Schizosaccharomyces pombe: one gene and its partner. The protein of the gene in region 2 interacts with the protein of the main gene of each other region in a pairwise test. Each region holds a gene or a part of one and is shown on either strand. Other genes may lie near its edges.

What was found.
Region 1: the proteins of get2 (region 2) and kms1 interact in binary tests that used the Schizosaccharomyces pombe proteins (3 or more experiments, as listed by UniProt).

The regions. Positions count from the first base shown.
Region 1 is NC_003424.3:3,460,924-3,465,973, reverse strand, and holds kms1 (protein Kms1), read right to left. Parts: upstream 3,077-5,050; 5' UTR 2,910-3,076; coding exon 2,847-2,909; exon of another isoform or gene 2,716-2,846; coding exon 2,276-2,715; exon of another isoform or gene 2,230-2,275; coding exon 909-2,229; 3' UTR 666-908; downstream 1-665. Other genes in the region: sei1 (seipin), read left to right, coding at 1-432, 530-665. UniProt on the Schizosaccharomyces pombe protein: Has a role in karyogamy, recombination and segregation during meiosis. Although it has been shown to associate with the spindle pole body it is unlikely to be involved in its formation or maintenance.
Region 2 is NC_003421.2:187,235-190,946, reverse strand, and holds get2 (GET complex subunit Get2), read right to left. Parts: upstream 1,834-3,712; 5' UTR 1,689-1,833; coding exon 1,164-1,688; intron 1,104-1,163; coding exon 855-1,103; 3' UTR 546-854; downstream 1-545. Other genes in the region: kinetochore protein fta7, read right to left, coding at 102-217; vacuolar H+-ATPase assembly protein Vma21, read right to left, coding at 2,355-2,479, 2,533-2,624, 2,798-2,847.

The DNA of each region.
Region 1 (5,050 bases), on a different chromosome or scaffold from region 2:
ATTGGACCATTTCTCAATTGATCCTAGGTTACCTGGCACATCTTTGCTTCAAATCAAAATGCCGCATTCTCCTCGAAATAGTGCTATGGGCAATTTTATGGTTTCTGTCGATTTTCAAGATAGAAATCAAAGATCTCTGAAGCAGGTTAAACGAACAGTCTTGCTTCCTCATAGGTCTCCTATTCACGAATACCTTAAGCTAATTGTATGTTCACCTCTTTACTTCATGGGGATTTTGGAAGAAACAGATATTGTCAATGTCCGTTTGTTCGAATCTGAAACATTTGCTAAAAGTTTTAATTCAATTACAACACTTTCCGTTAGATTTTCTGTCAAAAATACTCCAGCTCAAGCTATTGTCAAAATTTATTCTAAAGATATTGAATTTTACGAAGCGACTCTAGCTTTTGCATCAAAATTGCACGGCATGCGGTAAGTTTTACTTTTTGATTTACCTTCTTCATTTTTTTTACTTTACTCAATTTCTTTACCTGTTATACTTTTTCACAAACTAACTTGTCCTTACTAGCTGGTTCATGTATACGCATAAGGTTTCCGCATTTCTCGTTTTCACATCTTTATTTTGGTTTACGGGGATAACCTCAACGATAATTACCTATCTTATTGTCTCTTCCACATCTGAAACAAAAGCAACAAGACGTTGAATCTTCTCACATCTTCACTTGCATCTAAAATCATAATCGTCACAACCATAAAAATACATTATTATTAAATTAGAAAGTTCCATTATTGCTTTATCCGTTAGACCCATTATTCAGCTGCACCTTTATGTACAAAAAGTTGAAAAAGGGTAAAGCAATTTAAATCAGCACTGATTTTTTTTTTAGAAAAAAAAAATCTTTCGCTAGCATCTTCATTTTCGTCATTATTTATTAGTCGCCTAATTATCAAGAAGGCTGTACCAGTTCATACCGTCCATAAAGGAGTATAATTATATGTTCGCAAAATGTAAATACAACACGCAAAAAAGCTTGCAATAGCTCGGCGCACAATATGTAATCAAGTCCGTAAAAACAGGCAAAAAGAAAAAGGACGTAAAAAAGTCGCAAAATGTTGGATTTCATAACCGATAAAAGAAGCAAAGGTTGTCCTTTCGTTGCTAGAAAATGGGGGTTGTCTGCATTAACAGTATCTTGAGACGCCATAAAATCTTTAGAGGAGTTATTCATTGTTGTATTAGTTGCCATGAGTCCTGTTTCATCGTCACTAAAGCTCGAAAGAACTGTGCATTCGTGGCTTGATTCTTCATATGTTGGCATAGAGGAATCGTACCGACGACAAAAGTCGTTTAGGGTTGGAGACATTTTGGAAAGGCTTTGAATAATCCATTTTTGGATACCAATTTCCTCTGAAAGCATCAAAAATCCAGCAACCAATTCTTTGTTTCGCGAACTTTCAGCAGTAAGAGAGCTTTGCAATGATTGACTTATGTGTTTGCATTCTTCTATCGTTTTCTTTTGTTGTTTACATTTAAATTCCAATTCTCTTAATTCTTCACTTTCCCGCATTCCAACCGCAGGAATAGAAATGCAAACTGATGGTTGAGTGAAAGAAAGGCCAACCTCTTTGGAGTAAACCATTTCGTCAAGGTTAGAGGGTGATAAAAATTCATCTCCTTTTGGGTTATTAGACAAAGCAATTAAATGTTTTTCTCTAGTAAGATCATCTATGTGGTTGTTTAGCTGATTATTAGAATTTTTTAATTCATGGTTCTCTAAAGCAAGCCGACGAATAGTATTCTCATTTTCACTTGACCGAGATGCAGCCAAGCTTAATTCCTCAATTTTCTTAGTCTGATCTGTAAACTTACGCAAGAGAGTGGCATACCGAACTTGCAAGGCTGAAAGCTCTTTTTTTGTGGAGTAGAGGCCAGAGTTTGTCTGTATGAGTTCTGACTGAATTTTCTGAAAGTTTTTGTGAATGTTTAGATTTTGAGCCTTAAGAGTCTTAATTTGGTTATTTTGCGAATTATTGGCTACCTTAGATTCATTATATTTGGAATCTGCCATATTTAGTTGGTGGGTAAGTTCATTCACTTTTCCTTCTAAAATATCTACAGTACGAGATTTCTTTCTAGCTTGATCTCGAGCTTTATCTAACATATCCTGGAGTTCTGTGATTTGCTTGATTAGATCATGGTGCCCGTTGGAAAAATCAGGTTTATCCTTCCTAACAAGTGGCATCTCAGTATTTCTGGACGACGTATTTCTTCTTGTTAGAATTTTAATGACTTTTCTAAAAAAAAAATTCTTACCTATTTAGTGGTGTAGATTGGGCAAATGGAGTTCGAAGAATATTGACAAAATCACTGTCGGTAAATTGAGACATCGGCGGCAAGGACAGTCTCTTAGACATCATTTGAGAAGGGTTTAAGGATTCAGGAGAGGCATTAGAAGATGATTTTGAATGTGCAGAATTGACAGAGTGTTCATTTGCATCCTCTTTGATAGAATTTTTGGAATTCTGTTGCTCCATCGAAGGCTTTTCAGCTTGATTCGCAAAAGAGTCATCTTCGTTTTCAGTAAGTTTTTTATATACGTCTCGAAAATTATCCTTTGTAATAGAGAGATCTGCATTTTGCCGTACGAATTCGAGTGTACATTGTTTTTGGAATTCGCTCAAAAGAGGTGGTGCAGAAGCGGGATGTAAGAGTTGTAGGTCATTGATGATTGGCAAAAAGTTGGAAAGATGAACCTAAGAAAATTTTTTGTTAATAGTTTATCCTATTGGTAATTGGGTAAAGCGAGAAAAACCAGAGTCTTGAGAGTTTGTCTCTGACTCAATAAACAAGATCTACCTGCATAAGCAATCAATTTTTTTCATACTTTTCCTTCATGTTTAAAGTCATATGAATCGAAAATCAAGTCAAAATCGCGTTCATTTAGCATTTTGGAAAGGGAACTGGCAATTATAATTATACAGGAAACGAACCACAATTCTAGTGGGAATGGGATTCAGTTTTGAATTTTTTTGTTAGAATTTATCATAAAGCTGCGTGCATTTCATAACAGTTCACGAATTCACCGCATTTCTTAAGTGTTGTGAGTTGGGTTTCGTGCAAGGTCTATCCAAGGGTTTGGCAGTAGGGCTGTTGAGCAAGTGGTTTGAGAGACCAAAAAGAAGTACACAGAAAAAGACGGATTAAAATAAAACTTGAAAATAGATAAAAAGATGTTAGAAGAAATCATGTTTATGCTTGATTTAAGAGCAGCTAGAAAAGTAAGGCCACAACTTGGTCGTACTGTGCATACTTAAGTGATAATTCAAATGAAATCGCAAATTAAAAAAAAAAAAAAAAAAAATTATTTTTAGTGAAGTAGAAACTATTCGTATTTGTTTTATAGATCGATCGATTCCTCTGAGAACTTCAAGCGAATTTGCAGTAATTTAGAACGCCAGCATTTATAATTGCGGGTCAAACAACGATCGCCCAAGAATCTTTCATAGACTCCAAATAAGATTGGTTGATTACTTAACTTATATTTTGATCCTTGAATCGTTTTAGTCAATCAACGTCGTATATATTGTACTTTTTAAAAAATACAAGGTTTTGATCGTAAAAAAAGAAATGCATAGAAAAGGTCAGATTTTTTCATCCAAGAATGTGCAATAAATACAGAAATTACTTCTTTTTCTTTCAATTTAGCCAACTCTTTCGAAAACGTCTTCTATTTACATTTTCTATATAGCTACTACTCAGTCAAAACAGTTGGTTAGCATGTTACTTTATGAGAAGCGAGCGATGTGACGTCAAAGGTTTTTTGGCGAAATTAACACTGTCCATATGTATATGTGTTTGAGCGTGTAAAACCTGGTTTCTGCCATTTACATATTTTGAAACCTCTGTACGCTAGTTTAGTTATTTCTCGTATCATTTTATTTTTAACTGGTGCAAGAGACAAGAAAATTCATTTACTTTCGTGAAGATTTGAAAAATTCGTTTGTCAGCTTAGAATTCTTTGCTAGCAGCATTATTTGTACATTTTCAATTGGACCTCTCTTAGCTTTCAAATTTTATTAAATCTTCTTTGTTTTCTTTCTCTTTTGTACGAAGTGATCATCGAAAAGATAGAGAACATCGGGGTTTCCATTTATGGGCGATAATGTATTTTTAGAGCCTGATCCATGGGCATCTAGCAGTAATTGGGGTTCACCAGTGAAGCCTTTAAATTATAAAACAGCAATTGGTTAGTAAAAGTTTTGTTCTTCTGTTTTTTCCTTCTCAATTAATAGTTAATTTTACGGATCGATGCATTCTATCATTGATTTGTTTCTTTAGCTTGATTTTTTTTTTTTTCATCTTTCTTGCTTTTTTACTTACTTACTGTAATGATGCTAACCTTTTTCTTTTTCTTTTTTTTGTCTATAGGTAATTCATCCATTCCTTTGCAATATCGAAATTATTGGGACGTGTTTCAAGCAAACAATGTTCTCTTATTTCCAGAAGAAGAAAGTTATTCTGATATATTTCATGTTCCTCAAGATGTAATGAAAGAGTTCTTTACCTTGATTGAATCATCAAGCAATCAACCCTTACGGCAAATTCAGTTTTTCGTTTTGCTTGCCTTGGTTGCCTGTTATCAATTAGGTGTTCCTAGCACATTGGAACAGATTTTCAAGCAAAGAAATGGTAAGGCTTTTTTTTATCTTTGCTTTTTTTTGTCTTTTTGCTTACTTCCTCCTCCTTAGTCCTGCCCATTTTGCAGCGTTTTAATCCGGAACTTTTCAATCGTAGTTCTGATAATGAAACCCCTCTTTTTCCTAATAATTCTCCTCCTGCTTCAACAACCGCCTTGAATCTTTCATCCAACATTGTCCCTTCCATTAATGAATCAAAAATTTTAGAACAAGAGGATGACGACGTCTCCAATAAATCCCTCCCTCACGCTCAGCAAAGCATCATCCGTTCGTTTCCTGATATTCAAAAGCAGCCGAAAGGATTCTTTTCCTATCCTTCTTCAACTGTCAGCAGCATTGCACCTTCGACTTTAGAAGCAGGTAACTTACATTCGCAACAACCTCCAAAATT
Region 2 (3,712 bases):
AGGTAAACATCAACAGCAAACTTTGATTTCCCTTTCAGTACACAAGTAAGCGCTAAAAAGCACAAGCACTTTTAGCAATAACATGATTCTCAATTACTTACCTTGAACACGTCCTAAAAATAATTATTATTTCTTGGCGCTGCTTATCCTCTAATGGACGCCATCTTTTTTGAATTTGGTCTCGACGCACCGCGCGAACGCGCCTTTTCATTTCCATTGCATATATTTATAAAAATGGTGCTACCACTTCAATTTTCTTTTAAGCAATCTGGAACTTAAATAGCAAAATATGTACGTATGGTTTTATATGAAAAATTTCTCTATAACAAGAATTCGCCGTTTCAACGTTTGCATGCTGTTGTAGCGCTTCGGACGAAGTTGTTTTACATATATACAGTCAACCAAGCCAATTCTCAATTACTTATTTTATTTCAATAATAAGTTGATAAAAGATTTTAAAAATCATAGTTATAATGTTTTCACAGCTATCCCAGAAATTACTTTAAGTAGTCTGTTTTTAATTAATACTACAATTACAATAAACAGAGCTTTTTAAATCATATACTATTGCTACCATTGAATTAAAAGAGAAAATAAATAAAACGTACCGACAATCGTAAATATGGCATGTGTTGCAAAGCAGTTCAAATGAAGTGCAGTATGTTTTAGAATATAAATCGTTTAGATGTTGAAAAGATAATATAAAATTGAATTCCTAAGGGTTTGAAAAGTCTTTCTCGCTTAATCAGTTAGTTTATTTCATCTAAACAAAAATTGAATGCTAATTAATCGATCACCAATTTGCGAAGCAAAACCAAGATTCATAAATAGTAAATGCTGAAAATTAACAACTATTAATACACCAACGACGGATAAAAATAGCAACATAAACCTAACGCAAATATTGTCATACACGCATCTGTAATCAATTGTGTGAAATACGGAACATAACTTGTTGTATGACGGATCATTGCTCCATAGGGAGGGGGAAGCTGAGAGGCCAGAGATGCTAGAAGAGAATAAGAAGGTCCATTATTACGGTCCAAAACAAATTGAATAGAGAACAAGCAAGCTTCGACAGTAAATGTCCACGGAAGTAATGGCTGAAATAAATATATTAGTATGCAAAAAAACAATTTCAAAAAAGGAAGATGAGGACTTACCAAATGTTTAAAATAACAAACAATCACTACTATAGAAATTGCCAAAAGATGAGCATATTTCTCAACTAAGTTTTTTAAAGGAGCTGTAGCTTGAGGAATTTGTTCGTTTTCACCTTGAAAATTTGTATCAGATCCCTCCTTTGCGGATTGTAACATAGCTTGAAAAAAATTTGCAAAATCAGGGTTTTGATTAAACATGTTTTCAGGTGGTACATTATATGGAGAATCACACTGAAGTTTAAAAGGCGAACTTTCCAAATTATGGTAATCTTGGGAAGGAAGATATTCCACTTGATCAGCATTGAAGGTATCATCTCTCTTTTCCATGAATCCTGAAGACATTGGCGTTACTGGTGTTGCAGTTTCAGAATGTACAGCTTCCTCGGAAGCTGTAGCTCGAACATCGGATTGACTGTCATCTGAATTCTGTCCCAAAATTTGATTGATTCTAGATGCACCTCCTTGTTTGATTTTATTCAGTCGACGTTCACGTCTAAGTCGAGCTTGTTCACTGGCAGTCGACATGTTCGAAGTCTTTGAATCAGCAGAAAACAGAATAAAATAAATAATTAACACCAAACTTTTTTACAGATATATATTTTTATCAATATTATATTGGGAAAAAATCAATAATGCTCACTTGAACAACTTTCCAATATACGAGGGGTTTGGGGTGAGAGAAAATAGTGATGCATAAGTGTTAGAAGAATACTGAATTCCTACAGCTGTTATGTTTGATAAGAATCATACATGTTAGCCTTATATTATAAAAAGGAAAATTTAATTATAAAATTGGTTGAAATTGCCATATCAATTGCATTTTGCTAATTCGTGTTTTTTGGGAAACTACAAAAAACTAAAGAACAGACACATATTTTCATTACAGACTAGCGAAAAATTAAACAAAAAAATTTCCGTTCATTAATTCAGATACAAAAAGGAGTAGTATCACCAGCAACAGCTTTGTGGTAGCACCTTATTCAATAGACATACATGCAAAATCCAGTAGATTATAGGATAGTCCCAGCTAAAGTCTTTCATTTTGCGATACTTTTAACGAAAAAAAATAAAGACATCGAATGATTCACCTAAATACGTTGGCAGAAGGAAAATCCGCTTCAAAATTTGATTTAGAATTGAAATGCAAAAGTCATAACTCAAAATAGTAGTAAAATGGTTACTGAAAATTTATTATTCCCTTTTTATATCCTTCTTGGGAGTCCCGGAGTCTTCGCGAAAGGCTGCGACTATATACAAGGCCAAGATAATATTGACCATTACAGCTGCAGATAATCCTGCGTACAATGTTTGATATCCTAAAACAAAATTTATCAGTAAAAATCAAAATTATTCAACAATTAGTATATACCTTTGAATAAAGTCTTCAACGTCCAAAAATAAGTTATAAGTGGTAATGTAAATAATGCGACACTAAAACCCACAAACTTAAGCAGAACATTACTATTACGAAAGTTAGTAAGTTTTCATTTCCAACATATTTAGTTAAGAATATAAAAGGAATAAACAATATAAGAGACCTAAGATTATAGACTGTTGTGGAAGGTTGTATGGAATTTCTTAAAACCAATTCGCAGTCCGGCGTAAAGAAATAAACTAATAATTAATAAACTTACGTAGGTATAGAGTTATTATTTGTATCTGAAACTTGGGATTTCCTTTCCATTTTAAATCACGAATGCAAGTTGTTGATGGTGGTGGAGACCTAATTTATTGGGACCTTGCTTTATAAGAGGTCAAAGTTTTGTCAACATGAAAAGTAGACAATTGATATTCGTATGTTGAAAGTCCCTGAAATTATTTGTCATCTTATTAAAATTTATTATCTTTGTTTATAACATACGGTAGACTTATACGTGCGACCTGCTTAATTTGTGTTTACATATAATAAAATACCTGGGCGACAAAGTCTCCAAATTCATAGTTCCTTGTTGAAATATTAAATTAATTAAATTAAATCGAGTAACAAATGTATGTTAGGGCTTGGTCGATGATCATAAATAAAACTGCAATTTACAAACTCACATTGAATTGTTTAGCAGGCAAGGGTGTATCAAACAGTGGTGATCAAAAAAGCAATACTCAATTACTCCTCTGTTATAACAAGTGATTTCACACCATCCATCTTCACTTGATACAAGCATTGCTATGTTGACGTTTTCATCAGCGGACGAGCGGTATAAAAAAAAGAGCAAATAGATTACTCAATGGGTATATTTTATGCATTAAAATTTACCATTTTAGCTTGAAATCAAACTGTTGAAGTAGATTTTTGAGGTAATAAAAAGCATTTAATATAACGATAAGATCAAGCCTAGGTTATGTAAGCTACGCAGTTTGGTATCTGATTTAAGGATACGTAGAACTGCGGTGAGTTTTCCTTGTGGTCTATTATATTACAATACACAGGTTGTATAAGTAGCAACTGAGTATAGGTATTGTATTAACTGGGTTATAATGTTACCTATCACTAATATAGCTCATAACTGAACTGAGGAACGAGGTTCAGTTGTAACGCTATTTATAATATT